4 linked regions of the Drosophila melanogaster genome follow. The protein of the gene in region 1 interacts with the protein of each later gene in a biochemical or structural test. Each region holds a gene or a part of one and is shown in the gene's direction. Other genes may lie near its edges.

Evidence for each region.
Region 2: of the proteins of gammaTry (region 1) and Rad23, one has a biochemical effect on the other in vitro, tested with the Drosophila melanogaster proteins (one study listed by BioGRID).
Region 3: of the proteins of gammaTry (region 1) and Rpn10, one has a biochemical effect on the other in vitro, tested with the Drosophila melanogaster proteins (one study listed by BioGRID).
Region 4: of the proteins of gammaTry (region 1) and Ubqn, one has a biochemical effect on the other in vitro, tested with the Drosophila melanogaster proteins (one study listed by BioGRID).

The regions. Positions count from the first base shown.
Region 1 is NT_033778.4:11,346,368-11,352,860, reverse strand, and holds gammaTry (gammaTrypsin), read left to right. Parts: upstream 1-2,990; 5' UTR 2,991-3,005; coding exon 3,006-3,767; 3' UTR 3,768-3,800; downstream 3,801-6,493. Other genes in the region: CG30031 (uncharacterized protein), read right to left, coding at 1,273-2,034; betaTry (betaTrypsin), read right to left, coding at 5,758-6,493.
Region 2 is NC_004353.4:304,050-312,768, forward strand, and holds Rad23 (Rad23), read left to right. Parts: upstream 1-4,043; 5' UTR 4,044-4,174; coding exon 4,175-4,240; intron 4,241-4,363; exon of another isoform or gene 4,364-4,381; coding exon 4,382-5,030; intron 5,031-5,489; coding exon 5,490-5,584; intron 5,585-5,644; coding exon 5,645-5,968; intron 5,969-6,029; coding exon 6,030-6,140; 3' UTR 6,141-6,773; downstream 6,774-8,719. Other genes in the region: Syt7 (synaptotagmin 7), read right to left, coding at 967-1,127.
Region 3 is NT_037436.4:21,532,360-21,539,821, forward strand, and holds Rpn10 (regulatory particle non-ATPase 10), read left to right. Parts: upstream 1-4,640; 5' UTR 4,641-4,753; coding exon 4,754-4,779; intron 4,780-4,880; coding exon 4,881-5,021; intron 5,022-5,081; coding exon 5,082-6,105; 3' UTR 6,106-6,223; downstream 6,224-7,462. Other genes in the region: Mkrn1 (makorin 1), read right to left, coding at 1-761; ppk5 (pickpocket 5), read left to right, coding at 2,301-2,454, 2,518-2,617, 2,671-2,931, 2,984-3,194, 3,253-3,838, 4,390-4,502; COX8 (cytochrome c oxidase subunit 8), read right to left, coding at 6,713-6,808, 6,885-6,995. UniProt on the Drosophila melanogaster protein: Binds and presumably selects ubiquitin-conjugates for destruction.
Region 4 is NC_004354.4:19,682,074-19,691,697, forward strand, and holds Ubqn (ubiquilin), read left to right. Parts: upstream 1-1,734; 5' UTR 1,735-1,927; coding exon 1,928-2,023; intron 2,024-2,366; coding exon 2,367-3,837; intron 3,838-3,916; coding exon 3,917-3,993; 3' UTR 3,994-5,585; downstream 5,586-9,624. Other genes in the region: dome (domeless), read right to left, coding at 1-897; CG14227 (uncharacterized protein), read right to left, coding at 5,790-6,190, 6,259-6,443, 6,510-6,552, 6,621-6,852; Mer (merlin), read right to left, coding at 8,759-9,562.

The DNA.
Region 1 (6,493 bases):
TATTGTTTTGTAAATTTGTATCGATTCGCCAAAAATATTTTTGCCACGCCCACTCTAACGCCCACAAACCAATCAAAACTTTTTTTTCATTCATTCATTCATTCATTTCATTCATTAATTTCATTCATTCATTTCATTCATTAATTTCATTCATTCATTTCATTCATTAATTTCATTCATTCATTTCATTCATTCATTTCATTCATTTCATTCATTTCATTCATTTCATTCATTTCATTCATTTCATTCATTTCATTCATTTCATTCATTTCATTCATTTCATTCATTTCATTCATTTCATTCATTTCATTCATTTCATTCATTTCATTCATTTCATTCATTTCATTCATTTCATTCATTTCATTCATTTCATTCATTTCATTCATTTCATTCATTTCATTCATTTCATTCATTTCATTCATTTCATTCATTTCATTCATTTCATTCATTTCATTCATTTCATTCATTTCATTCATTTCATTCATTTCATTCATTTCATTCATTTCATTCATTTCATTCATTTCATTCATTTCATTCATTTCATATCATTTCATTCATTTCATTCATTTCATTCATTTCATTCATTTCATTCATTTCATTCATTTCATTCATTTCATTCATTTCATTCATTTCATTCATTTCATTCATTTCATTCATTTCATTCATTTCATTCATTTCATTCATTTCATTCATTTCATTCATTTCATTCATTTCATTCATTTCATTCATTTCATTCATTTCATTCATTTCATTCATTTCATTCATTTCATTCATTTCATTCATTTCATTCATTTCATTCATTTCATTCATTCATTTATATCATTCATTCATTTCATTCATATCATTCATTCATTTCATTCATTCATTTTCACTGTGGAGTTTCTATCGATATGCCAGAAGAAAGATGCTAGTTCGTTCACCCTGACACTAGCTGAGTAACGAGAGTATCTGATAGTCGGGGAACTCGAATATAGCATTCTCTTTTGTTAAAGAGTAAGTTCGGTTAACATAAGTTAAACTATGTAGTAATTGATCGAAAACGGGTACCTCAACAAATTACCTTTAATTTATTAAAATGATTTAAACCATTATTAACCTCCCGACAGAAATCTAGGTGTTTGTTATTTTTCAGGAGGTGAGAATACATTTTTTAGAAGGTTTCCTTTCCCATTTGCTGAATAAGACACATTACTGTTGAATCAGTAATAGGTCAAAACCACAATGAAACATAATAAAAGTAATATCCAAACTGAAATTTATTTCGCATACTTCTTAGGCATTGCTAATAACCCAGGAGCGGAGGGCAGCAACATCGGCATAGACACCGGGGTAGTTGGAGTAAGCGCATCCGTATCCCCAGGAGACAACACCGACGAGGACTCCGCCGGAGACCAGTGGGCCACCGGAGTCACCCTGGCAGGCATCCTTGCCGCTGGCAGCAGCGCAGATCATGGTGCTGCGGATCTGGCTACCGTATCCGTAGGTGGAGGAAGCACACTGGCTCTGGCTAACGATGTTCACGTTCACGTACTGCAGCTGGGAGGGGATGGAGCTGGATCCGTAGGAGAGAGTGCCCCATCCGGAGACGGAGGCCGCAGCGCCGTTGGCGGGGTTGGAGCTAGCCAGACCGATGGCCTTGATGGTGGAGCTGAAGGTCAGGGCGCCGTTGATCTTGATGATGGCAATGTCGTTGACCATGGTGTTGGCGTTGTAGCCCTCGTGGTTCTTGAAGGAGGACACAGAGAAGGTGACACCGCCGGAGCTCCAGTAGCTGGATCCAGCACGGATCTGCAGGACGGAAGCGGACACGGACTGCAGACAGTGAGCGGCGGTCACGATGACGTTGCTGGAGTAGATGGATCCACCGCAGGAGTGGCTTCCACTGCGCTGCAGGGAGATCTGCCAGGGGAAGCTGCTGATGGTGGTAGCAGAGCCGCCGACAATGCGGCCATCCAACTGAGGCAGGAGTCCCTCAGGGACGGTGCCTCCCAGGGCGCAGGCTACTGCAGACAACAAGATCACGAACTTCAGCATGGTGCGAATCCAATGAGTTGACTCTAAACTGGACACCCCTTTTATACGAGTTTCCAATCTGTTCTTGGCACTATAATCACAACTTTCAATTATTTTTATCACCTGCGTGTCAGGAAAACCCAAATAATACCGTTGAAGTGCCCAAATGATATTCCACAACTCAGAAGTCGCACGGCTCTTTATCACAAAAATAAATAAAAATGCAAGGAAAGTGTAACTACTTTTATATTACCTTTCTAAATAATTCGCGTTCTTTTTATTATATTTAATTTGCAAGGTATTGATGGGAACGTCTTTTTTCGACTTACATATTTAAATAGGGGATTAAACTTGTACAATAACATTGTGGAATTTTTTAAAAGTGGATGCTTGTCATTCAACTTGATTTAGTTCTAATCTAATCCAATTATTATACATAATTGTGTGCATAACTATTAATATTATTGGCTTTTTAAAAGAAAATAACTGTTTAGCATTTTAATTTGTGAATTTTGTAAAACCATTAATTTTAAGAACAATTTAATCGCCTTTGCATTAATTTTAATTACATGATTATGCGTTCAATTGCATTGTTTTCTAGTAATGCTCATGATGTTTCTCATAAGTTATATAATTTCTTTTAAAAAATTATGGTGTCTGTTTATTTAAAACACAATAAATTGTTTATAGAAATATAAATTGTTTTAATTTCGTTTAAACCCCGATATCTTTATGTGACTATCTTTTTCAAGCTATTTAAATGACCAACTTATTGCAAAAAAAAATCGTTTGGCATGAATCTGGACTTTGTATACGTATATACTTCTTATTCGCGAAATCTATTTGTCGGTCACACATTTAAAAAATATTTTGGATTTCCCTGACAAGCAAGTGATAAAAATAATTGAAATTTATGATAAGAGCGCCACAAAGAGATAGGTCCCTGTATAAAAGGGGTGTCCAGTTTAGAGTCAACTCATTGGATTCGCACCATGCTGAAGTTCGTGATCTTGTTGTCTGCAGTAGCCTGCGCCCTGGGAGGCACCGTCCCTGAGGGACTCCTGCCTCAGTTGGATGGCCGCATTGTCGGCGGCTCTGCTACCACCATCAGCAGCTTCCCCTGGCAGATCTCCCTGCAGCGCAGTGGAAGCCACTCCTGCGGTGGATCCATCTACTCCAGCAACGTCATCGTGACCGCCGCTCACTGTCTGCAGTCCGTGTCCGCTTCCGTCCTGCAGATCCGTGCTGGATCCAGCTACTGGAGCTCCGGCGGTGTCACCTTCTCTGTGTCCTCCTTCAAGAACCACGAGGGCTACAACGCCAACACCATGGTCAACGACATTGCCATCATCAAGATCAACGGCGCCCTGACCTTCAGCTCCACCATCAAGGCCATCGGTCTGGCTAGCTCCAACCCCGCCAACGGCGCTGCGGCCTCCGTCTCCGGATGGGGCACTCTCTCCTACGGATCCAGCTCCATCCCCTCCCAGCTGCAGTACGTGAACGTGAACATCGTTAGCCAGAGCCAGTGTGCTTCCTCCACCTACGGATACGGTAGCCAGATCCGCAGCACCATGATCTGCGCTGCTGCCAGCGGCAAGGATGCCTGCCAGGGTGACTCCGGTGGCCCACTGGTCTCCGGCGGAGTCCTCGTCGGTGTTGTCTCCTGGGGATACGGATGCGCTTACTCCAACTACCCCGGTGTCTATGCCGATGTTGCTGCCCTCCGCTCCTGGGTTATTAGCAATGCCTAAGAAGTATGCGAAATAAATTTCAGTTTGGATATTACTTTTATTATGTTTCATTGTGGTTTTGACCTATTACTGATTCAACAGTAATGTGTCTTATTCAGCAAATGGGAAAGGAAACCTTCTAAAAAATGTATTCTCACCTCCTGAAAAATAACAAACACCTAGATTTCTGTCGGGAGGTTAATAATGGTTTAAATCATTTTAATAAATTAAAGGTAATTTGTTGAGGTACCCGTTTTCGATCAATTACTACATAGTTTAACTTATGTTAACCGAACTTACTCTTTAACAAAAGAGAATGCTATATTCGAGTTCCCCGACTATCAGATACTCTCGTTACTCAGCTAGTGTCAGGGTGAACGAACTAGCATCTTTCTTCTGGCATATCGATAGAAACTCCACAGTGAAAATGAATGAATGAAATGAATGAATGATATGAATGAAATGAATGAATGATATAAATGAATGAATGAAATGAATGAAATGAATGAAATGAATGAAATGAATGAAATGAATGAAATGAATGAAATGAATGAAATGAATGAAATGAATGAAATGAATGAAATGAATGAAATGAATGAAATGAATGAAATGAATGAAATGAATGAAATGAATGAAATGAATGAAATGAATGAAATGAATGAAATGAATGAAATGAATGAAATGAATGAAATGAATGAAATGAATGAAATGAATGAAATGAATGAAATGAATGAAATGAATGAAATGAATGAAATGAATGAAATGAATGAAATGAATGAAATGAATGAAATGAATGAAATGAATGAAATGAATGAAATGAATGAAATGAATGAAATGAATGAAATGAATGAAATGAATGAAATGAATGAAATGAATGAAATGAATGAAATGAATGAAATGAATGAAATGAATGAAATGAATGAAATGAATGAAATGAATGAAATGAATGAAATGAATGAAATGAATGAAATGAATGAAATGAATGAAATGAATGAAATGAATGAAATGAATGAAATGAATGAAATGAATGAAATGAATGAAATGAATGAAATGAATGAAATGAATGAAATGAATGAAATTAATGAATGAAATGAATGAATGAAATTAATGAATGAAATGAATGAATGAAATTAATGAATGAAATGAATGAATGAATGAATGAAAAAAAAGTTTTGATTGGTTTGTGGGCGTTAGAGTGGGCGTGGCAAAAATATTTTTGGCGAATCGATACAAATTTACAAAACAATAAAAATGTGAAAAAAAATCAAAATATTTTTCAAAATTGTGGGAGGGGAGGGAGGGGAGGAGGGGAAAGGGGAAATATGGGTCTATGTCTCTAGAATCTGTATGCCTAATCTCAAGCTTCTAGCTTTTATAGTTGCTAAGAAACTCGACAGACGGATGGGGCTATCGATCCTGATCAAGAATATATGTACATTATATGATTGGAAACACTAACTTGTAGCTGTTAGATACATTTAAACGAATCTATTATACACTTTTACTCTACGAGTAAAGAGTATAAAAATAAAATGGTTACGAATATATCGTTATAAAGTAAGTCTTATGTAGAATGATGCGTATCGAGCCTATAAAATTCATATTCTTCTTGATCATGATCTAGATTTCCCTATCCGCCTAACGTACAGTCTTGGAAAACTAATAGAGCTTTAAAGTTGTAGTTAAAAATGCATGTTTTATTTACGACTACATTGCGCAAGTTTGCTTCTTAATAATGCCTAGTTGTTTACAATTCCAATCACGCTAATAATCCTTAGGGCATTCTAACAGAATATGGGGATAGTTAAATCCAATCAATCAATTTCCATAGTCCTAAAAGCAGTCCCTTTACTGCTTGCACAACTCACTATATCTAATAGTCATTGCACTCGAACAGTCATTACCATCTAAAAATGTGAACCCTGTGTCCTGATTTTTAACTAAGACCATCTTTTAAAATAAACTGACGACCGTCATAAACTGTTCATATATGATTTATTTCGAAAAATAATTAGGCGTTGTTGATCACCCAGGAGCGGAGGGCAGCAACATCGGCATAGACACCGGGGTAGTTAGCGGCAGCACATCCGTATCCCCAGGAGACAACACCGACGAGGACTCCGCCGGAGACCAGTGGGCCACCGGAGTCACCCTGGCACGAGTCCTTGCCGCTGGCAAAAGCGCAGATCATGGAGCTCTTGATCTGGTTTCCGTAGCCATAGGAGGAAGAAGAGCACCGGCTCTGGCTGACGATGTTCACGTTGACATAACGCAGCTGGGAGGGAATGGAGCTGGAGCCAGAGGACTCGGTACCCCATCCGGAGACGGAGGCAGCAGCACCGTTGGCGGGGTTGGAGCTAGCCAGACCGATGGCCTTGATGGTGGAGCTGAAGCTCAGAGAGGAGCTCAGATGGAGCACAGCGATGTCGTTGACCATGGTGTTGGCGTTGTAACCCTCGTGGTTCTTGAAAGAGGAAACCTTGGCGACGACGCCACCAGAGCTCCAGTAGCTGGATCCGGCGCGGATCTGCAGGGAGGAGGCGGACACGGACTGCAGGCAGTGAGCGGCGGTCACGATCACCCTGGCGGAGTAGATGGATCCACCGCAGGAGTGGCTGCCACTGCGCTGCAGGGAGATCTGCCAGGGGAAGCTGCTGATGGTGGTAGCAGTACCGCCGACAATGCGGCCATCCAACTGGGGCAGGAGACCCTCGGGGATGGTGCCTCCCAGGGCGCAGGCTACAGCC
Region 2 (8,719 bases), on another chromosome or scaffold:
CTTCTCGACATTCTTTTTGGCGTACCGATAAAAACTGGAATGAAAAGAAAAAATAAAATAACACCCACCACCTTAGAAACTAAAAAAGATAGACAGTTGAGACTAAGCATGTAAATTCCAGAGACATAGGCACAGCTCAATATTGTTTCCTGATGTCGCCACGCCACAAAATTAAAACATTTTTCAAAATGTGAATAAAAATTTACGAGACTAGCAAAAATATGAAAATTCATTAATACATTTTTTAAAAGTGTCGGCGTGGCAGTTTTGGGATGGTTGTGGGCTTTAGAGTGGGCGTAGCATGAAGTTGGCAATTTAATAGAAATTTACAAAACTAATAAACGTATGAAAATACGACGGGCGGTAGTGTGGGCTTGGCAACATTTGTCTCTGGAAACTGCATGCATAATCTCAACATTCCAGCTTTTATAGTTCCTGGGATCGAGATCGGACAGACGGAATATATATACTTTATATGGTCGGAAACGCTTCCTTCTACCTGTTACTTACTTTTCATCGAATCTACTATACCCTTTTAATCTACAAGTAACGGGCATAATTAGCAATTTATATCGATTGGTTCCCGTTACAGAAGAATAAAATATTTTAACGTTAAAATTTTGTATTTGCCAATCAATCATCCGATAATAAGCTATAAATTATGATGTTTCATTAAACTGCATACAACTCAAAAATGTTGGTTTTTTGTAGCTAAATTATAATTATATATTATTATATATTGCAGAGCATGATATATAAATATTCTAAATATTCCGAGGGTACTCAACTAACGTATTTATAAAAAAGTCAAATGAATAGGACAATTTAGAAATACTGCATACTCAAAATCGTTGATAATATACAGTCATAGACATAAATAGATCCTCTATCGCTTGTTAAGAGTCGAATGTCTGTCCCCATGAAATATATAAAGTCATATACTAAACAGGAAATGCAAATACTTACCGAAGACTATAACTACTAGATTCCTCATCTTCATTTGGTTCAATAAACTGTAACTGTGATCTTTTATGCCTCCACCACAAGTATCCTCCAGCCAGAAAAAGAGCGATTGTAATAATTAATCCCAATATAGCCAAGCAAGCTATAAGTACTATGCTTGCCATGTCTGTAATAGTGAGAAGTATGTGTAATTTTTTTACGACAATTCGAATCTTAATTCAAGTAAATAACAAAGAAATCGATTATGTAAGATATAATATCTTCGGGCATACATATTTATTTCATGCAGATAAGAACGTAACTTTCTGTAACTAAGGTGTATAATAATATATAATAACAACACCCAACTTATTTTTATTTGTTTATTTTTTATACCACAGTACCACCACAGTATAAACTATGTCGCACTTTAAGATGTAGAGCATATAATATTGTTATTTAATGGCTTTCTTTTTAAAGGAGTACACATTGTTTTATGTTTGACTTATGTAAATCTCATAAAACTTGGTCCAAAACATTATTATTTGTTTAGTTCGCTGTCATAAAGGTTGCAGGTGCCGGAGATCCCAATTAAGAAATAAGCAAACCAAACTAATCCAACATTCAGTATAATTGTTACAGTACTCTATGTTTTTACACTGTCTTATTAGATTGCGTGTTGTTATTACAAATTTGAGTCTTTCCTTTGAATTTAAATAACGGCAAAAACTGTATTTTACTTTAAAACTACTTTATTCCTAAAACAATATGTCGTTTAAGTTAATATCGAGCTACTTATGCCAATGAAAACACGTCGAATACATTTTTTTATAAGAGCTCGTTTGCATGAAAAGCTCGACTCTGTGCGCATGTCATTGAAAATACTAGTATATGTATGCATATACATAGGTACGAGTTATAATACGGAGTACTTTGAAACATTTACCAAAATATAATTGTGGCTGAGTGCAGCCAATTTTGTTGTGCTACTCATTAGGAATTCCCAAAATCGGAACTTAGGGGGATAATAACTGACAAGAGTTCTGAATACAGCCATCCTTATTCTACCTTGACAAGTGCATCGAATTGTTTACTTCCTCTAGATCCTGTCATCAAATAGTTTTCTTGGCAGATCCCGATATGTCACGGTTAAAAAGAAAGCTAGGAGAGAGTGCACGAAGAAATGAAAATCTGATGCTAACACAAGAAATGAAATTAATTCACATGAATACACTTATTTATTATTATTAATTGATAAGTGGAAAAACAATGCATTCGTGTATTTTTTGTATTATTCTTTGCAAATGTCTAATGCACAAGATTATTATTACAATTAAAAATCTTCAACAGCAAATTTTTATTTTTTGTTTTTATGGTATATACAATTATTTAGAATTAACACATTTGTCATTTTTGAAATTGTATCTTTTAAAATTCTCGATATTTACTACATTTAAACACCCCACTGATGATACAGCAATAGTTATCTTAATTTCGAAATTTTCGTTAATCTTATATGAACTCAAATCATATATGTTCACAAGACAGAAGATAAGCATTGATGTATATCTTTTGAAAGGAATACGGTATTACCAAAGACACTAGAATAACAAGATGCGTAACGGCCATACATTGGTTTGCCCAAAGACCCTAGAATAACAAGATGCGTAACGCCATACGATTTTTTGGCACACGATTTTTTGGCCGTGGCTCTAGAGGTGGCTCCAGGCTCTCTCGAATTTTTGTTTGAGAGCGAGAGAGCGAAGAGCGCTACAGCGAACAGCTCTTTTCAACGCACAAAGTGGTAGGAGACATCTGTATGTGTGCACACGTATGCTCATGCATTGTAAATTTGACAAAATATGCCCTTCACCTCAGAAGTTTTTAGACTTTAAATCTATATTATTTTTGATCAATTGGCACCATGCGAAAAATTCTTGTTTTGCATTGCCTTAACGTTATTATTATTTGAAAATATATCAGAAATAGCCAAATCTATGTACATATTATCACAAAAATAAATTTCAAAAATGACTTTATATAAGAATATTTGTCATTAGAGTATTCATCTTGCGGCGTGTGAAAAATTAATAAGGCAATGATTGTTGAGTGCTTGTGTCCGCACTTCGTGCCTCAAGATATGAACAAAGCATTAGAATTATTCTAGTATATTACTTTGATATTACTTTTGCAATAAACAGTTATCATATTTAATTATTTAGTATATTTATTAAATCATTTGACTTAATATGATGTAACATTAACATTAAAAGTGTTTTAAAAAAATAATTTCTCTTTTAAAAAATTGTCAGATGAGAGACAAATTAGAATTAAACATAAATATAAATGTGTAAACGGTAGCTAATTCGAGCGGCGATTTTAACAAACAAATTTAAAAAGCTTTAAAATTATAATAGTCAGGGCGCGAATTTTTAAAAATTTTTTTATTTTATCATATTGCTAGGAAATTGGCAAAAACTACCCTAATATGTACCATGTAAATTCGTTTCTTCGATCAGAATTGATTTCGGCCCGAAAATCGTCTTCTAGCACAACACGCACACTTATACGCGTTCTCGTCTCTTGTTTTTACTCACACAAGCAATCAAATTATATTTTTAGATTTCTTACGCTCTCAGCGGGAGTGAGCGGAAAGAGAGTAATTTTGGCAGTCACCAAAGAAGTGGCTGCATAGTGCCAAACCAATGTATGGCCGTTACGCATCTTGTTATTCTAGTGTCTTTGGTTAAACTAAAGTATTTTTAAAGAAATACCGAACTACTTAAACGGAATTAAAAATTAAATTTCTTTGAAATTTATTGATCATCAACCGATGGTATATTATAAATAGACTTATATACTACAGGTATAACCTGTATATAGTATGATCTAAATCGTTGATATAATGAAATACTAACTACAGTCAAACCACGGACAATTGTTTATTTGTTACGTTCATTATGACTTCAATATTTCATATTTCATTATAAATTTCATTACAAATCTTTACATCTTTCTTGATGTGTGAAAATGTTATAAGGACTATTGAACTCTTTGGTTTGTGCTGCGATTTTGTGTCTTTTAAGCGAGAAGGTATAATTTGCCAGTCCATGTGCGGTCACACTGATGACAAATCGTTTTTATCAAGCGATATTGGGAACTAACTTTCGAGTTTGCATATGTGTATGCATATGTATATTTAATTAAGTTTTGGTTTTGTCTGATACACAAGATGATTATTACAATTAAAAATCTTCAACAGCAAACTTTTACTATTGAGTTTGCCCCGGAAAAAACGGTATGTGTACAAATAGTCAAATACTAGTATATTCACATGTATGGTATATACAATTATTGCAAATGCATATGTGTGCTTATACAGGTATTTCTTACAATTAATTTGTTGTACCATAATAAGCAGGGATTCTGATTACAAAAGGTTTTGGAACTGAAGAAGAAAATATTCGAGGAGCGCGGTCCAGAGTACGTCGCCGAAAAACAAAAACTGATCTACGCTGGCGTCATATTGACGGATGACCGCACCGTTGGTTCATACAACGTTGATGAAAAAAAGTTCATTGTGGTAATGTTGACACGCGATTCGTCTAGTTCAAATCGTAATCAACTTAGTGTAAAAGAAAGTAATAAATTGACTAGCACCGACGATTCAAAGCAATCTATGCCTTGCGAAGAAGCCAACCATACCAATTCGCCTAGTTCCACAAATACAGAAGATTCAGTTTTATCACGTGAAACCAGACCTTTATCTAGTGACGAATTGATTGGCGAGTTGGCCCAGGCTTCCTTACAATCGCGCGCTGAATCTAATTTGCTTATGGGTGACGAATACAACCAAACAGTCCTATCAATGGTGGAAATGGGTTACCCAAGAGAGCAGGTTGAACGTGCGATGGCTGCTAGTTATAACAACCCGGAAAGAGCCGTTGAATATCTCATTAATGGCATACCTGCAGAGGAAGGTACTTTTTACAATAGGCTGAATGAATCAACGAATCCTAGTCTAATCCCCTCCGGACCGCAACCTGCGTCGGCAACCTCTGCCGAGCGTTCAACAGAATCAAATTCAGGTAACTTGATGGGATTTCAATCAGCAGTCAATTTATGTATTCTTGTATGAAACGAAAATATATAATTTCTACCCAGAAGTACTAAATTTGCACACTTCAAAACATAGTGAAATTAATAAACCCGATTTGGCTCTCGCTCTTTAATGAAATTATACGGCCTTAACATAATTGCGTTAGTTTTCCTGGTCAAGAAATATTGTTGATCAAAACTTATGTTGCACATTCGTTAATAAATAATAAAAGAGTTCTCTTAGTACTGGAAATATATGCAGCTGTTAAAGATTCACTAAAATGTTTGTGAGCTCGTTGTCCCGCAGTATCATTTACATATATATGTCAACAGACACTAAAGGAGCGATAATTCACGAATTTTTGTCACTATTCTCTTCAAGGACAGGGCATCACTATATGTTTTTAGTTAATTTAATTATTATTTAATTATTTATATTTACGTTTCAGACCCCTTTGAATTTTTACGTAGCCAGCCACAGTTTCTTCAAATGCGATCTTTAATTTATCAAAACCCTCATCTTTTGCATGCAGTATTGCAGCAGGTAAGTACACTTATAATAATAATTACATGACACGTAAATGATAATTTTTTTTACGTATAGATTGGTCAGACAAACCCAGCCCTTTTACAACTTATTTCGGAGAACCAAGATGCGTTTCTCAATATGCTTAATCAACCGATTGACCGCGAATCGGAGTCAGGCGCCACCGTTCCTCCCGTTTCGAATGCGCGGATTCCTTCAACTTTGGACAATGTTGACCTCTTTTCTCCAGATTTAGAAGTAGCTACTTCAGCACAAAGATCAGCCGCGGGTACAAGTGCAGCACATCAAAGCGGTAGCGCAGCGGATAACGAAGACTTGGAACAACCTTTAGGAGTATCAACCATTCGTTTAAATCGCCAAGATAAGGACGCAATAGAACGGGTATATAGGAGTGAATAATTATATATGGACTGTCGAGTTACTTAATATATTCTTCTTCTAGCTAAAAGCTCTTGGATTCCCAGAGGCCCTTGTACTGCAAGCGTACTTCGCTTGTGAAAAGAACGAGGAACAAGCAGCTAATTTTTTGCTATCGTCTAGCTTCGATGATTAGGATGACAAAATGTAAGAAGTTATGCAAATAACACCGGAAGCGTTACATTTAAAGTTAGATGTTCTTAAATTAAATGTAAAATGTCGATCATAAAAATTCTTTTATATTCTTTTAATACCGTCGGCGTATTGTACTTGTTATTTGTTAAAAATTGCAGCCATGGGTAAAATAGAGTTACGATGTCATTTTTACTAAATATTTCACCACGACATTGTCTTCAGCATAAGACTGCAAATGTCTACAAATTTATCTGTGCCAATCCATGGTAGGGAGGCCTTGGATTAGGCCTTCACCTAATGGATGGCAAAGTATATTTCTAGTGTGTGTATTTCTAGTGTATATGCAATACACACATTAATTATTTTAAGGTCGTATTAAGCTAAAGAAGTCTTATGATTTATTCTTTCCTTATCTTGGTTGATTTATAAAATATTTTTTTGACTAGTGGGAGTCCACAATTAAGTCACTTAACACATAAAGTACTTTTTGTCGTCCTGGATGTTGGACATATGACTAAAATATATTAATCATTGTATTACATAAATTTCGTGTTTTTTTATTGTAAATAATGTCCGCAATTATGCCCTAATAAGCTGTGGCGTCTCTTTGGTGATTCCTTTCAGGATGAGTCGGAGAAATAAAACAATTTCATTAATTGCATGACATTCATAACAATTCTATAGTCGAGTGCCTCGACTATCAGATACCCTTTACTCACGAAAAAACTAATTAAAATTTTTATAAATATTTTTTATTGCTTATTTTTACAGGAATAAATGTTCTCCAGTTTTACAGTACTTAGATTATCATTAATTTACAAATATACAAAACTGTAGAACATTTGGACTTATGATACTTTTCTGCTTGCCAATTAATACGACAAATATAAAACTCGAACATTGTAATATGCATTATTAATGCAAAGAATTCTACACTTTAATATTAATAAATCTCTAATAGTTTCATGTATGGCTATGGTCCCCTCTATAATGTTGCTACAATTATAAATCTTTCCTGACTCAATGTAGATTCAAAGACACAAGAATTATTGGTAGATTTGGTAGAACGCAGGTAAGTGGAAAGAGAAGCACTCGTTAATACTTCTTTCCTTGACACGTTCCAGAACTTTAGACTGGGTCGAATTAACTTTATAAACATGGGCATACCCACCGGACCACAAATAACGTTATTCTAGTGTCTTTGGTTTGACTGTGTTAATGACAAATCTTTAAGCTCAAAATTGTAGTATAGAAACTCTTTGGTGACCATTGACACGAATAGGACTGCCGACCACAGTGACATACATATAAAGTGAAAACATACACATTTATGTGGAAATGGTCTGGCAACGACGAAAGACAAGCTTCACAGCTTATCTAACGACAAATCAAAAAGTTAGAACGATAGAGTGGTGTTTACACACAAACTACCGGATTGATGTACACTTTCTCATATCGATATGACGCAACCTAGTGATTTTGGAAGTATTAGTAAGATGCTACGCGGTGAAAAGATACAAAATATTATAAGATTGTATATATGTAAAGGGAAAACAATTTATCCTAATTTGAAACAAATCCATGCTACAAGTAATTGAACATTTTACCAAATTTTGTCGATTGTGCCCAAGGAGAAGAGAATCGAGATCAGGTTTCGGAATGGCAACGAAAAGGAATAGTACGCAAGTCGGCGCCGAATTTCGCCAGCAGACTCGTCATAGTCAAAAACAAAGATGGATCAACTTAACGCCATGGTTTAAAAAACTGCCTAAAACTGCAGTCAGCAAAGCTATTTGTCGTCGTGATTTTGGGAAACAGTTTTTTTCACGTTCTAGTAGAAGAGAAGTGCCCATAATACACATCATTTATAGCCAAAGAAGTTTTTAAAGATCTTTGCTAAGATATGATTCATATTTACAAGACAAGACAAGAACAGCGGAAATAAAGAACGCGCGAAAAATATTCCGCAAAGAAGTTGAGCAGAATTAAAGTAGAAAAGACGCAGAAAGGTATCTATAAATGTAGAAAGTCATAGCAGAAGTAGTTATAGAAATCCGTAATCTAAGGCCGTAACAGAAGACGTTATCCAGTAAACCAATGGTGACATTGCCAAGCTGCCTTTAAACCGTCTCTTACTTTTTACTACCATTCTGAGAACGTAAACTATCCATTGTTATTAAATACAATAAAAACATATATAATTATAAATTAACATATAGTATATAGGAGCCGGAGTCAAAATTCTGATGCCAATGAATTCGGCGCCGACTTGCGTACTATTCCTGCCTGCGCAAGTCTAAATATTAAAGTAAAATATTTCTTGCACTACTTTTTGACCTTCCTCATTTTGCTTGGTTTACTCACAATACATTCTCGTATAAGGCCTCTCAAATCACTCAACTTTACAGAAAGCTGACAAAAGTTGACGTCGGTACCAAATTTGACTTTCATGCGACAATTCATTAAATTCAAAATCTTTGTGCAAAGCACTTAATGTTAATAATTGTATATCCGAGAAATTAAACCCAATATATTTATAGCTTAATATCCCTTAACTTTTACTTCATCTTATTTGACAAA
Region 3 (7,462 bases), on another chromosome or scaffold:
TGTTTGGCCTGACGCCATGTGCGAATGCACTCCAAGCAGAATATGTGGTTGCAGTTGGGGAGAATGCCGAAGCGCTTTTCTCTTCCCGCCTTTTCCATAATCGTGTCAAAGCAGATGCCGCACGTCTTGTCCTTGGATCTGGCAATGGCGAAGGACAGCTCCATGGCCTGCTCGTGCTGCTGAAGGCACTCACGGTTGTGACTCCTCCGCTGAACTTGATCCGTGGGATGCAGGCAATACTGGTCGCACATTTCGCACAGCTCCATGTGAATGGGGTAAGCGGAGAATTCGCCCCAGGCGCAGGAACTGTTCTCCTCGCCATAGTCCTCTTTGTTCAGAGACGAAGGTCCGCCCACTACTTCGGCCCAGGAGACACCCGGGGCTAATGTATCGTAGCTGGCTCCAGCCTGCGCCTCCATCACCGCCTCAGGGTCCACAGTGGTCTCAAATTCGCTTTGTTCGTGGGCAGTATAGCGCTTTTGGCTAGGCACAAACACAGGGGCGTTCGCCCAGTTCCTCTGCTGACTGGAGATGCTGGCGCTGCGGCTGCCAATGGTGCTGCTGCTGCTTGTACTAGGCTTCGGCAGCACGTCGGTGGCCACCTGCTCCTCGCACTCGGGACGACCGCGGCTCAGGTCGTGGGAGAAGCGGCAAAGTTCCCCAAAGCGGCAGATGCCGCGCACGTAGTAGCGGCAGATGGTCTGGCTCCGGCCAAGAGCCATGCCGCTGATGGCTGTATCGCTGCTGGTGACGGCACTCATTTCGCTACGATGATCGCAAAAGGGTTTTCGGGTTTTCAAATCACTGACAAGTCTGGACCTGATGACCTGAAAGCAAAGGCGAGGGGTTAGCGATTGACGCTAGGCAAAATGGGTAAATTCAGGAAAATGTGACCTCCAGTCTCAAGCGTTCTTACCCCCAAACGAACATACCTACAGACACAGCCACTGCGTACATACGCAGATTCGGCAAACAGAGCCCGTGTACCCTTAAACCACAGTTGTTCGGGAGTTTCCGCAATCCTTAGCAGGAAAGCACACGAAATGCACTCGTGACACCTTTTGCATTTCAAATATCCCCTTAGCATCAGTGAAATATGCAATGTAAGTATGTATGCAAGTGCGAGGATTCCTGTACGCATATGAACGTTGCGATCCCGCACTTCAAAATAACCCTTGCATCGCACGCGATGAATGTTTTACATTACCTGCTTGCTTTCAGGGAGTGCGACTTCTTGAAATCGAAGCTGGTTTAATGTCCACAGCACTCACAGTTTCTTACTTTGTCGTTTTATGCACCTTGGATCACATTCACAATTTTTTTCCGCAGTGTGACCAAAGCCATTGAAGACTAAAATCACACGCACAACAAACCGTTTACTGTTTGAATGTTCGAACGCTTTTTAAATTTTACTAGGAATTCTGGGAAAGGAACAAAAGAATGAAAACGACAACAGAAGAGAACGTTTTATTCGACTATCAGATACCCGAGAAATTTTTTAATTTTTTTGGCATATCAATAGACAGAATATCAAACTGGACAGAAAGGCGTAACGGTTTTGGGCCGTTAGAATTGGCGTAGCAATAATCTTCATCTTAATCCTTCTACATACATAACGAATCTACTAAGCCTTCTTATTTACGAGTAACGGGCATAATGATGTAAGATAATATTTAATAATAAGATTTACAGTGTTACTCCCCCATTCTATCAAAGCTTAGAAAGCAGTTTACTAATCAAAAGGATTTATTTCCACCCGGCTATTTATTTAATTAGTGTTAAAGGGTATACCATTTGTATGTATATTGTATAAATAATTGCTCCTAATAATGACGCGGCAATGACAGGAGCGCAGCGTAACTTCACTCGAAAAAATTTATAAATGATACGTGGTCAAATTCTGTTAGTGAACAGATGGAGAGGATTTAACGGAGGATATAACGTAGTTGTAACGTTCTAAAGCTTTAATATCTATATTTATTTATCTGACATTATCTCAATGTAATAATTCCGCTTGTGTGAATATAAAATTTATCTGACTATCAAATGTACCTGAACATATTTGCTGTGTAGCAGTAACGCTCTAATTGACTTTGAAACTAAATAAGATACCATTTCTAACGTAAATTAAGGCTATTACAGGCAATCTGAAGTAATTAGAAGTTATTCGGGCCAACTCAGGTGAACAGTATTCATAAAATTCTTCTAAAAACCAGACCATGCGCTTGATAAAGAAATTCCATGGAAAAATTCGAAGCGTTAGCCGAAAAAGGGGAAAAAGTTTCCTAAGAAATACGTCAATGGAAATGCTTAAGTACGTTATTAGTGATAATAATTATTCTTGGTGGATAAAGCTTTACTTCGCCATCATATTCGCCTTGGTTCTTTTTGTGGCCGTGAACTTGGCGGTTGGAATTTACAATAAGTGGGACAGCACACCAGTTATTATTGGAAGTATATAAATCATAACATATATTACTTTTAGGGATATGAATACATTTTAATCTTACTTTAAAGTTAGCTCTAAGATGACTCCCATTGATCAAATTCCGTTTCCAACCATAACGGTTTGCAATATGAACCAGGCTAAAAAGTCGAAAGTAGAGCATTTAATGCCGTAAGTATCATTCAAGTCCCATGGAAACCCAATTATATAATAAACTCTATTAGGGGCTCCATAAGATACGCCATGCTTCAAAAGACCTGCTATAAGGAGTCAAATTTCTCGCAATACATGGATACTCAGCACAGAAATGAAACATTCTCAAATTTCATATTGGATGTTTCCGAGAAGTGTGCAGATCTGATAGTATCCTGCATATTTCATCAACAAAGGATACCCTGCACTGACATCTTTAGAGAAACTTTCGTGGATGAAGGATTGTGCTGCATATTTAATGTCTTGCATCCGTATTATCTTTATAAGTTCAAGTAGGGTTCAACGAAGGTCAAAAGAACGAATAACTTACTTACTCATTTAAAGATCGCCCTACATTCGGGACTTCACTTCGTCCGACAGGTTTGCAGATATCGCCGTGGACTGGGATCCAATATCTGGCTACCCACAGAGACTACCCTCAAGTTACTATCCGCGTCCGGGAGTTGGAGTTGGTACCTCGATGGGTCTGCAAATCGTTCTCAACGGTCACGTGGACGACTATTTCTGCTCCTCCACAAACGGACAGGGCTTTAAGGTAAGTTGTGTTGTACGCTTTTTGCCCAGCTAGCTTATACCTTTCAGATACCTTTCAGATACTCCTGTATAATCCGATAGACCAGCCGCGCATGAAGGAGTCAGGATTACCTGTGATGATTGGGCACCAGACGAGTTTTCGCATCATAGCTAGAAACGTTGAGGCTACACCCTCTATAAGGAATATTCACAGGACGAAACGCCAGTGTATTTTTAGTGACGAACAGGAATTACTCTTCTATCGCTACTATACGCGCCGAAACTGCGAGGCCGAGTGCGACTCCATGTTTTTCCTGAGACTTTGCAGTTGTATTCCCTACTACCTACCACTAATTTATCCCAACGCCTCAGTGTGCGATGTGTTCCACTTTGAATGTCTGAATCGGGCAGAGTCCCAGATCTTCGACCTACAGAGCTCTCAGTGCAAGGAGTTTTGCCTGACCAGCTGCCACGACCTAATTTTCTTTCCCGATGCATTTTCCACTCCATTCAGCCAAAAGGACGTCAAGGCACAGACCAACTACTTGACGAATTTCTCAAGTGAATACATGCGCAAAAACTTGGCGGTAGTAAACTTTTTTCACACCGACAACTATTTCAGGAGCAGTGTAAGGACTTCGTATACCGGACCCACTGAATATATGGGTATGCTATTTATTAAATTTTTTAGATCTTAAATACTTTCTACGTTATTGTTATATCGTTACTAGAACAGTAATTGCAATTCCGATAATATTCCGAGTCTATCAGGGATGCCCGTCCGTCTGATAGTATAAACGTCCATGTTTTTTTTTTTTTAACTCGAGGGGGTATTTTAAGTCGATTAATAAAAACAGTCCATGTAGTGACGATGTTCACCCGGAGTGTAATGCACAATAAGAGAGTGTGTAATGCACAATCTGCTTAAAAAATCCAAATATTACCGTTTATCAGAAGGTATTTTTATGCTCAAAGTTGCATACTTAGGAGTTAATTTATTTGATACAAATCAAATATTACTATTTGTCGTTACATAACGTATGTAACTCGTCACCTCGTAAGGAAATATTTTTGCTTGATTTTGCCTAGTACCATACAAAAGAGCTTCAGGCTTATCCAAAATTGATAAAAACAAATTATACAACTTTTATATAGAGATGGTTTTAGAATTCAAGGCAGTTGACTAAAGCGTTGTATCTTCCTTGTATCTTTTCCAGCGTCAACTGGTGGAATCATGAGCCTAATGATTGGTTTCAGTGTAATATTCCTTGCGGAGATAATATACATCATTTTGTTTGTTTCAACATTGTTGCTTATATTAATATTCTGAATTAGTAAATAAAATAAACAACTTTAAATGTGTTACATAATCTAAATTACTTTTCCACAGGACTAACATTAAATAATGGACTGGTGTAGAAAAATGTAAAAGAATGTACATATGTAAATATAATCAAACAAAAATATCGCACAACGGTCATACAAATCCGATATTTTAATGCCGATAGTTCAGGCAGCACAGCACCTGGCAACCCTGGGGAATTACAGTTCAGTGGCAAAGTGACAAGCAAAAATACGAAAATGGTTCTGGAGAGTACTATGATATGGTAAATTATTGTTTTTTGAGCAATACGAAGAGCTTCCGCTAGTTTTCCCGTACTGCTTGCAACGGCACACAGTCTGGCACTCATATTTTGCTCTTTTCCAGCTTTGATAACAGCGACTTCCAGCGCAACGGAGACTACTTTCCAACTCGTCTCATCGTCCAGAGAGATGGCATCAATCTGGTCTGCCTGACCAAGCTGCGTTCCAATCCCGAGAACAATGTGGGCCTGATGACTCTGTCCAAGTGAGTGTGGAGCGTTTGTGCCCATGCCACATATTCATTATGTCTTTGTTTATACCTCAGCACCGTTGAAGTGCTGGCCACTCTTACTAGCGATGCAGGACGGATTTTCTCAAAGATGCATCTGGTTCAGCCGAAGGGCGAGATAAACCTCCTGACCGGAATCCGAATTGCCCATCTGGTGCTGAAGCATCGCCAAGGCAAGAACCACAAAATGCGCATCGTGGTCTTTGTGGGCTCCCCCATCAATCACGAGGAGGGCGATCTAGTGAAGCAGGCCAAGCGCCTCAAGAAGGAGAAGGTCAACGTAGACATAGTTAGCTTCGGTGATCATGGCAACAACAACGAGATTCTCACAGCATTCATCAACGCGCTTAATGGCAAGGACGGCACCGGCTCCCATTTGGTCAGCGTGCCTCGGGGATCAGTTTTGTCGGATGCCCTGCTGTCGTCACCCATCATTCAGGGCGAGGACGGCATGGGCGGAGCTGGCCTGGGCGGCAACGTCTTCGAATTCGGTGTAGATCCCAACGAGGACCCCGAACTGGCTCTCGCCTTGCGTGTGTCTATGGAGGAGCAACGGCAGCGCCAGGAGAGCGAGCAACGTCGCGCCAATCCCGATGGGGCTCCACCGACTGGCGGAGATGCTGGTGGCGGAGGCGGCGTTTCGGGATCTGGACCTGGAAACGAAGAAAGTGCCGGAGCAGAGAACGAAGCCAACACCGAGGAGGCCATGCTGCAGCGTGCCCTGGCCCTGTCCACCGAAACACCCGAGGACAACTTGCCGGACTTTGCTAACATGACTGAGGAGGAACAGATTGCCTTCGCTATGCAGATGTCCATGCAGGACGCTCCCGACGACTCTGTTACCCAGCAAGCAAAGCGCCCAAAGACGGACGAGGCAAACGCTCCCATGGACGTGGACGAGGATTACTCGGAGGTGATCGGAGACCCGGCCTTCTTGCAGAGCGTGCTGGAGAATCTGCCTGGTGTTGATCCCCAGTCGGAGGCGGTGCGCGATGCTGTCGGTTCACTCAACAAGGACAAGGACAAAAAGAGCGACGGCAAGGACTCGCAAAAAAAATAAACCGCATCTATGATTATATCTAATAAGCTCGTTTAAAGCATTTGTATGCCCATTAAAATCATTTGTAGCCGTCTTTCAAATTATGCTTCAAGTGAAAATATATAAACAAATACACACGATCTGCTGCTGACTTAATTGACTGCGAGGGTCTTTTCATTCACTGCATGTCTAGTAAAAATAATTTTCTAGTCCTGATAGTGGCCGGTCGACTCGGGTAAGCATGTTTATTAGGGAAGCATATGCATAATGCTTCTTCTATCTGTCACTCACGACTCTAGTTAAAGTAAATAAATTGGATTCTGTACTTAAAGTAAATGAACTTGAGCTCATTGGCCAGTTTTTGAAGTTAAACACGGAAGAATTTAAAACATCAAGGATTCCGCCCGCCTCTTTTAGAGTCCACTTTACACCTGGCATACTGCGTTTTATACAATGTCAGTACCATATATCAGACACACGTTTATTTACAGCTGGACCATAGATAAATAATAAAATCAGTTTGTGGCTCAATGCACTATAGTTTATTTCCCCGTAACAGGGGCACTATTGATATATTGATGCTCTCTACTTTACAAGCGTATTAACTATGTGTGGTCTCGTATGCAGATTACTTGTCGCCCTTGTAGTCCCGGATGTGGTAGAGCACCCAGGCGGGAATGAACAAGGATGCAGCGCACATGCCGCCGCCGAGGATCACCTTCTCCTGTAATGCAAAAAGTGAAGGATCAGTTTTTCGCTTTGGGAATCACATCCTGGTTATGCAACAAGCTCAAACTTACGGCGGTGGAGATGCGCTGGGTCGGAGGTCCAGAGACGACCGACTGGCAACGGCTCTGCATGGCGCTACGCATAGCGGGGACCAGGAGGCGGGCAGCGCTGTTTTGGAACATTTTCACAAACTTTTTCGCAAAATACGCTGGCGTAAAATCAATGCTGTAAGGTTAGAATGCTTCTTCTTAACGATTTGTCATTCGCCTTTCTTTAGAGATGGTCTTACGCGAAACACAACTATCGCAAGCCAAAACGAAAATGTAGGGTGTTTCAGGTGCAGATAATTGTTTAGAAATACCTTATTGATTAAAAATAATGTTCTTGACAACCTAGAAATAAATTTAAGTCAATCAAGTTACTCAATGTCGGTATGGTCACAATGCGTACAATTAGTTAAATTAGTTAGTTTGTTCAATATTAAAAAAATCCTTTTTTTAATTAAAAAATAGCTTTAATATTATGTATCGGAAAATTTAATGGAACATAGATAACACTATTTATAATATTATACGTGTTATAATTGTGATAGGCATACACAAATTTATAAGGGAAAAATAAGCCAGGGAAGGCGGTCCAGGGTGACCAT
Region 4 (9,624 bases), on another chromosome or scaffold:
GTAGTTGTAGCCGGCGAAGGGCAGCTCCGTGAGGCAGAGCGTGTCCTTGATGGTCAGCGTGTGGTTTCGCCAGCTGGGCCGCGTGATGGGCTCAAAGTTTTGCGGCGTGACGCGCACCTGCCACACCAGGCCGCGATTGTAGTTGGACCGACGGGGCATCTCCCACGACAGGCACACGGAGCTCTCGGTCCTGTTGAGCAGGGTCAGGTTCTGGCCAGGTCGCGCCGGCACCAGACGCTCAAAGTGATTGATCGTGATCGGCTGCGTCTCGTGGCCCAGGGCATTGGAGATGGACAGTCGGAAGTAGAAGGTCTCGCTGAAGCGCTTGTAGTTGTCGTCGGTTAGGTTACAGGTGACCACTGGCGCCGAGTCGAAGTTGCAGTCCAGTGTGTTGCTATATCGCCAGTCGTTGTTGGTGTTGTAGCTGATGTTGTACTTGGTGATGACCGTGTTGGGCGGCTGGGTGAAGTTGCACACCATAAACTGGAAGTCGTAGTCCAGGCAGTTGAAGTCGCGCACCAGGAGCGGCCTGGTGCCCACGTAGACCTTTGACTTGTTGATCACATACTCGTCGCACATGCAGTGGTAGTCGTTCTCTTGCTCCACGGCATTCGTGTCGCTAAACAGGATGGTGGTGTTGTTCAGGATTCGGATGTGCTTGGAATCGCGGTAGACGCGGCCGCCGCCTGTAAAGTACAGCTTCTCCACCGGGCAGTCCTCGGCGCTCTTGCCGTTAAAGTAGTCTTCGTTGAGGGTGCAGCTCAGATTAAAGTCGCCGCCGATGAGCTGCTCCACCTTGGAGGGAATCACCCAGCCAGGATCCAAGATGGCGTTGGCGCCACCCCGGCAGCCGGCAAGCAGCATGAGCAGCAGGACGAGCTGCTCCTGGGCCACCATCTTCCTGGTCCTGGTTCTGCTCCCAATCCTAATCCTAATCCTAATCCCCTCCTTCCCTTGCTGTTAAGGTTTACTCTGGCTCTCTCTCTCTCTCTCTCCCACTCTGTCTCTCTGTCTTTAGCTCTTTTCCTCTCTTTCTGTCTCTCTCTCGCTCTTACACACGCGCGCACACCAAAACGGCGCTCTCTCACACACACAAGAGCACCTTGCTGTTGGCCTCGCACTTGTTGGCTGTGTATTGGTGGCCAGTTCTCGGAAACCGTTTATACGCTGCGTTCCTGGAAGTGGCTCTTAAACATTTCACTGCCCAGGTGTGGGCTTCTTGTCCGGGGCTTCACTACGACTAAATTACGAATAGGGCTATCAGGGCCTTGCAATGCCAATTGCTCGCTTCGAGCAACTGTGGTACCGTGTTACTGTTTTGTCTCTGGCTCTCTCGCAAATGCAGAATCCTCAGTTGGCTAAGGCGATCGCTCTCCTCCCTGCCCCCGCTCGCGATGCTGACGATATATGTTGTCGACGAGTTGCTTGTCCGCAGTGTGACCGCTTATCGAAAGTTATCGCAGTCCGATATGCGATATCACTGGGGCTACCTGTCGACGAACGGCCCCACTAAATGCGATAGGTGCCAAACATCGCATTTCAGCCGAAATTCGAATTCTAGGCCACCCGTTGCTTGTATCTCTAGAACGCCCTCTGCCGAATACGTTTTCAAGCAGAGCAAACTACTTGGCAGCGGTTTTGGACGCGTTCAAAGCGTTCAATTGGCCGCTATCGATTCATCGATTGGTGGTTGATACGTCAGCCCTGGCGTGTGTAAGAGTCAAAATCGAAATCCATCGTGAGTGTGTGTGTGTCCGTGTGAGTGAGAAAGTGACGAATTACTTTTCATCAAATGGGAAATAATTTAGGGTGAAAACACGTATATATTCGGAACACATTTAAATTACAGACGTGATAACATCTCGAAAGAACCAGCTACATCGGTGCAAATTAAGCTAAACGAGAACACCGCAAATACACCATCGAAATGGCGGAAGGCGGCAGCAAGCGCATCAACGTGGTTGTAAAAACGCCAAAGGACAAGAAAACGGTCGAAGTTGACGAAGATTCTGGAATAAAAGATGTGAGTACGGAGCACGTGACCCGCCTGACTTGGTTGCTGGTACCCCAAACCCTTCTGGACCCTTCCATTCATAGCGATGGACCACCTCCCTCCCTCCCTGCTCTTTGCCCACACCCCCGAAAGTATTGGGAAATTAGTGCCCGTAATCGCGGTACAGTGCACTTTGCCTAAGCCGCACACAACACGCGCAGCTGGTACAGTGCACTTTGCACAGTGATTGGTCTTCTTCCCATTAACACACATAAATTGAAGCAGAGGCATGGGAGCGAACATTTAATTGAAAGGGGAAACTAGACCATGGGCACATAATAATGACAACAATCACACCATTCTCGCCCCACAGTTCAAAATTCTGGTTGCACAAAAGTTCGAGGCGGAGCCCGAGCAGCTCGTGCTCATTTTTGCCGGCAAAATTATGAAGGACACGGACACCCTTCAGATGCACAACATCAAGGACAACCTGACGGTGCATCTGGTGATTAAGGCGCCGACGCGCAACAACGAGCAGCCGGCCCGACAGCCGGCTGACGTGCGCCAAACGCCCTTTGGCCTCAATCAATTCGGTGGCCTGGCCGGAATGGAGGCACTTGGAGCCGGATCGAACACGTTCATGGATCTGCAGGCGCGCATGCAGAACGAGCTGCTCAACAATGGCGACATGCTGCGCTCCCTGATGGACAACCCGATGGTGCAGCAGATGATGAATAATCCGGATACCATGCGTCAGCTTATCACGTCCAATCCGCAAATGCATGACCTGATGCAGCGCAACCCCGAGATCTCGCATATGCTTAACAATCCGGACCTGCTGCGCCAGACGATGGAGCTGGCCCGCAATCCCTCGATGTTGCAGGAGCTGATGCGTTCGCACGACCGCGCCATGTCGAATCTGGAGTCGGTGCCGGGCGGCTATAGCGCCCTGCAGCGCATCTACCGCGATATTCAGGAGCCAATGATGAACGCGGCCACGGAATCCTTTGGTCGCAACCCCTTTGCCGGCCTGGTCGACGGCGGCGGTTCAGGAGCCGGCAACAACCCGCAGCAGGGCACCGAGAACCGCAATCCCCTGCCGAATCCATGGGGCGGTGCCAATTCGGGAACCAATGGAACAGTCGGTGGCTCCGGCGCCGGCAATCCGACGGGGGATCTGCCGCCGAACAATGTGCTCAACACGCCGGCCATGCGAAGCCTGCTCCAGCAGATGGCCGACAATCCAGCCATGATGCAGAACCTGCTGAACGCGCCCTACACGCGTTCCATGATGGAGTCCATGTCACAGGACCCGGACATGGCCGCGCGCTTGCTGAGCAGCAGTCCGCTCATGTCTAACAATCCCGCCCTGCAGGAGCAGGTGCGTCAGATGATGCCGCAGTTTATGGCCCAAATGCAGAACCCCGAGGTGATGAACATGCTGACCAATCCGGATGCAATGAACGCTATCCTGCAGATCCAGCAGGGCATGGAGCAGCTGCGCAGCGCGGCCCCAGGTCTCGTTGGCACCCTGGGCATTCCACCGCCACCACCGGGTGCCGGCACCGGAACGAATCCAGCCAGCGGCGATGGGAGCGGGGGCAACAGCGGTGCCAGCACCAACAATGTTTCGCCAAGCAGCGGCCTCAACGCCGGCACCGGCACTCCAAACCTGGCCCCGGGCGGTGGTCCCAACGCGCAGCTCTTCAACGACTTCATGATGCGCATGCTCAACGGGATGTCGAACAACGCGGACAACACACAGCCGCCGGAGGTGCGCTACCAGTCGCAGCTGGAGCAGCTGAACGCCATGGGCTTTGTCAACCGTGATGCCAACTTGCAGGGTGAGTGTCCTAGTGGGTCTTGGTGGGTCGCCTGCCCTGTGCGATGATTCTAATCCGCTCTCTTGTGTTTGGTTTGCAGCTCTGATCGCTACCTTCGGGGACATCAATGCGGCGGTAGAGCGACTGCTGTCCCTCAACCAGTTGTCCTTGAGTTAACAAGGCTAAGCCATAGCCATAACCAAACTGTACACAACCTGTCTATATATCTACGAACTACAACTACTATATATACCACTACGGCCCTGGAGAACGCGAATGAGAACACGACTAGTTAGGAGGACAGGTCCTAAACCCAAACACACACCCTCCGCCAAAAAATTCCACGGTCAGCGCTGCTGATCGCTTGTTTCCCCATCAAGCCGGAAATGTCAGGAATCCATCATAGCCACATGCCAACATACCAACACCCCCAAGACACAAAAAGATGGCTCCAAACGAGCATAGTTGCCTCGAGATCGGAGAGATACTAGATATAGGTGGGTGATATGAATGACGCCGGTGAGAATGTTAGATAGGGATCGCATACCAAAGTGTTAGCACTTTCGTAGTTGATATCAGATTTTTTTTTTTTTTAAATAATTTACATTTCGTGAGCTCGGAGAATCCTTTAAGCGGAAATGCGTTAGCCGAAAACCAACTTGAATATGCATACTTTGCTCACGTAATGCATAGTTTTGCACGCCCAACAACTTCAATCGAAATACTTAACGCATTTCTTTATCGGAGAACTTCGTTAATTTTCAATAAAGTTAAGCGGGAATGTGCACTTTTGTCATTGATAATGTAATAACTATTTTGTCGCCAACAGATGCGAATTCCAGTTTTGTGTTTAAGAAAAAAGAATCGGTACAGAGATCAGAGGCGTAGTATATATCCTGTGTTCTGGTCAGGCAGTTTAGTTTTAGTCGGGTGCTAGTGGGCGTGGGCTATAGCCGCAGTCCTTCTGACTCCCCCCCCCCTCCATTTCTCGCGATCGGAAAACGTTCTGGAAATTGCAAACAACTGCAAACAGGACAAACGTACAGTAGATATCGGCTATATGCAAAGACGACACTGTCTTGGGGGAATCCTAACATACGCGCGAGTATGCTGTAGTCAATCAAAATGTTTATCGATTCGTTAATATAAGAGCAATCTCCAAGCGTTATTTATCCCACATCCCGTTCAGAGGAATACAAATGTAAAAAGTTGTTGCACACAAGCGATTTGCATGCTAACGATATCTACTGTAAGTTAATGTGTGTATATAGGTATATATATATGTATATACATATATATATATATATCAAAATATTCCAAGGTGTTAACAAAAGACGTAAAACTATAAAACAAAAAAAAAAAAAAAAAAAAAAAACCAACTCCTTAGTAAAGAGAGGAAGCCCCAATAATAACTTGTAATGTAATTTACTCTAAGCTTTCGTATATAAAACCTATAACCGACCATTTGGGTTCCCATTTCCGATCAATCACACACACACACACTTTCGAAAAGCTTTCCTTCGCGCGCTCACCGTTTATATAAGATATGGATTCAGTGTATACCCTGTAAGTGCTACCACCACATAGCCTCGCTCGTCCGCTGTGGGATTGGCTGGTCGGCCGGCTGGCTGGCTGGCCGGCTGGCTGGCTGGCCGGGTTGTTGGTTGGTCAGTTGGGCTAGTGGACTAGTGGAACTACGTTTATTTGTTTAGTGAAGGAAGTGAGGCAAAGTAATTAAATGTAAATGATCACATGTTTGAAAACGTAATAAAGCTACTTTGGTTTTAGATTATAGCCAACCTCGTCTATTACTCTCTACTATCTCATTTACTTCCAAAGGCATCCGAAATAAAGCAGCTCACCCACTCTGGCTTAGTTTTAGTAAGCAGTACTTTCTAATTGCTATTCCAAATCTTTACTGCAGCTTAAACGTTTATAATAACTTATACACTTATAACTTATAACTTATGTCCTCATGCCGACAAGTTAACCAGAGCATCCCAGATCCAGTCCATGTAGAAAGTCACATTGGTGCAGACACTTAGGCCCGCACAGGAGCTCAAGCCGAAGATGATGATGCCAAACTGGAAGGTGCGATACGTGCCCCCGTAGAGAATTTTTGCGCTAAAGGGGCCACCGGAATCCCCTTTGCATGCGTGGCTCGTCTCGGTGTGGACGCATATCTGCGACTCGTCCACCTGCTGCTGGAACTTCAAGGTGCAGAGTTCGCGATCGATACGATCCCCAACGGAATGCTTCAGCACCCGTGGTATGCTGCGAAAGTCTTCTGCAGTGGTGCCCCAGACGGTCAACTGGAATCGGTCGATGGCCGCCACTGGCTCATTGATGAGCAGGCAAATGGGGCGCACGAAGTCTATAGGGGAAAGGCAGTTCTGGTTGAGACTTTCGAGGGCAACGACTGGATATCTCCCACTCAATTACCTGAATACTGCACCGCATGCTGCATCCGGAGTAGGCCAATGTCGTACTGTTGGGCTTGTATTTTGCCGAATCCGGCGTGCACGATCTTCTTGTCGATCCGAACGCAGTATGCGTTTGATAAGCGAGCACCCGAGCTGCAATTTTGTCCAGGATTCCAGGCGTCGAAATCACCCAAGTGCACCTGCCTACAGGGAGAGATTGGGTAATGGGCTGATGACCACCACATATGCTGGCGAATGGGCAGGACTTACATGGCTTCTCTAAATACGCAATGTGCTGCTGTCAAAACAAATCCTGGAATGGTTAAAATTTAGCCTTGCGTGAGCTAAATAAGACACTCATCATTTGGCACAAACACTCACTATGATTGATGAGCGATCCACTGCATTTGGCCTTGCCATTCACTATCACCGAAACAATCCAAGGATTGGCCTGTATGTCAGTGCTGCTATCAAAGTAATTCCACCAAGTTAGCTTAGCGTTAGTTGGAAGCGACCTTCCACATTCCGCGTCGAGCAGGAAAGCCGATCCCTCTCGGGATCCGAGAAATAGAGAGGCAAAGAGGATCAGGAGTGCCGCTATGACTTTCTTCATTGTAGCTCGAGGCCCGAATGGAAACCGAACTTCGTGCCATTGGGTTTTTATTATATAAATTTGACACTCACTTATCGCAAGTTCCTCACTTCTGCGAAAGTTGCAAATTGGGCTGTGTTCTACGCGTGCTTCAATGAAATTTTGGCTGGAACACATGCCACATCTATATCCATACATTTAATCACTTTTATTTCTTATAAAAAATTGATTAATTTTGGATTTTTGATTCACTCAATTAAATGGAATAGCAGAAATCAATATGGATAACATACATTTTCATTTGAACTATGACATTTCGTTTATTTAATATCTAATATTAAGTTTTTACCGTTATTTAAACTTTAAATAAAGTTCTCTTATTATAATTACTCCGCGTAATAACGGAACATAACAAGGTGTATAGGGTAGAAACACCCTTTGAAGATCTTGAATTAGACAAAGATACACTGATGGTGCGAACGAGTCCGGAGTACTCTTCGGATCTGAAACCCTATACCTTTGAATGATCCGTCTATCATATCGAGTGGGAAATTTCCTTTAACGCCGTGCACGCCAAGTTAAAGGATTAAGTACCCTTGCAGTTAAACGTTAGGCATAATCTATAGTCTACAGGTACATACATATCTATAGTCAGATTCAATTAAAATGCAATTCCTTTGTCTGAAATCTTGAAAAATTATAATAAATAAATAGAAATCCAATCGTTTAATTTGCGCCACTTTATTTTTTTAGCTATAGGATACACTGCAGGAAGACAGCATTTTCGTTCCGATTTGCATAGTTGTATGTATGTATGTACATATGTACATATGTATTTAAACGAGCTGACAGAAAATATATGGCAACAGAACTAAGAGACCATGGAATCGGATGGACATCCACAGTCTCTGGGATAACATCCGTAAACCGACCACGCTCAGCGGAATAGGAGGGAGCTTCAAGAATATCGTAATTAACATTCAGACTTAACTAGAACAAATCCGTGCCTGCAGTTCCAGTCACCGACTTTTAATCGGTAAATCACCGCTCTTTTAAAAATGTTGAGCGCTTAAACACCGCACAATTTGCACGAAAGCTACCGGTGATTTTAACATTGGCATGTTTTAGGAAATCATCGGTATGAAAAAAAAATCCCAAAAACATCGCTATTAATCACCGTTGTTTAAGCGCATTTTAACGGGCCAATCGTCCTTTGATTCAGCGTTTTTTCATCGCTGCTTTAGCGGTTTTGGGTTTTGCGGTTTATGGTTTTTCATCTTTGGGAGAGAGATCGCTCGCGAGAGAGTCGGTGTCGGTGAGAGAGTGTGATGTTTCTCAAGATCGATGAATTGGGGAACTGCAGGGAAGGTATCAACACACTGACAAAGTCAAAAGAGCGCCAAATCTTCGCTATTGATCACCGTTGTTTGAGCGCATTTTAATCGTCCTTTGATTCTGTTTTGCGGTTTATTAGTTTTCATTTTTGGAAGAGAGAGATCGCGTTCGAGAGAGTCGGTGTCGGTGAGAGGGTGTGATGTTTCTCAAGAGCGATGAATTGTGGAACTGCATGGAAGGTGTTGAATATCTTCTACCGAAAATAACGGTATCTAATCGCCCATCTACTTTATGAATATTTTTCGTGCGTAAGTGAATGTAAAATCATATATGTACATATGTATGTACATATGTACGTTTGCAATTGGTTTATTACAGCAGCGGCTTGAGCGAACAATCGAAAAACATTAAATATAGTATGTTATAGTAGGATATAGTACAACTACGGTTAAGGCACTCATACACTCTAGCACGCGCACAGGCACACACGCCAAATCGTAACGTATCGTACAGCTAGATGGGGTATTAGTCATGTCGGCGGATGCGGGGGTGAGGGGGGAGTAGGTGACGGAGGAGGCGGAGGCGGAGGAGGTCAGAGCTCCTCGAAGAAGGCGACACGCGCCTTGGTCGAGCCGGACTTGAGTTTCTTGAGCGTGGAGTATTTATTTTCGCCGGCCTTGATCTGCGCCTCGCTGAGGATGTCCAGGTTGCTCTGGTTCTCCTCAATCTTGTGCGGCGCGATCTCGGAGCGCAGTGTCTGCAGTTGACTTTGCACCTGCTTGGAGTTGCGCAGGTAGTCGAGGTGGTTGCGCTCCATCTCATTGGTGATCTGCTCCATCTCGTTGTCGGTGAGTATGAACTCCTTGGGCTCGAAGTCGTCCGAAATGCCGCTGGAGTTGTCACCTTGGACCAGGTAGTGTGACGAGTGGGTGGTCAGCTCGGCGCCGCCGGCGGTCTCCAAATCATTGGTTGAGCTGCTTGTGATCAGGGAGGGTGTGCTGATGGCCGCCATGCTGGACGCCGTATTCGCCGCGTGCGACACACTGGAGGCGGTCAGCAGGCTATCCGTGGAGGACTTGCGGCCGCTGTTGAGGAATTCGAGCAGGCGAGCGGTGGCCTCGCGCTCCGCCATTTTGGCGCAGATCAGCTCCTTGCGCAGCTTCTCAGTCTCGGCCTCCCGCTTGTCGTTCTCCACCGTCAGCTGGTGGACATAGAAGTCGGCGTCGCGAATCTTCTTCTCCAGGTCGTGCTTCTCCCGCTCGATTTTCATTTGTCGCTCGCGCAGCCGGTCCATTTCCGTCTTGAAGTGGTTTGCCTTGCACTCGGTCAGCTGCATCTGCTCCTCGTTGACACGACTCTTTTCGAAGTACAGCTCCTTGGTCTCTTCGGAACGCCGCTGGGATACAGGGAGAAACTCAATATTATAGATCAGAAGCCACTGGGCGGAGTGAGTCTTAC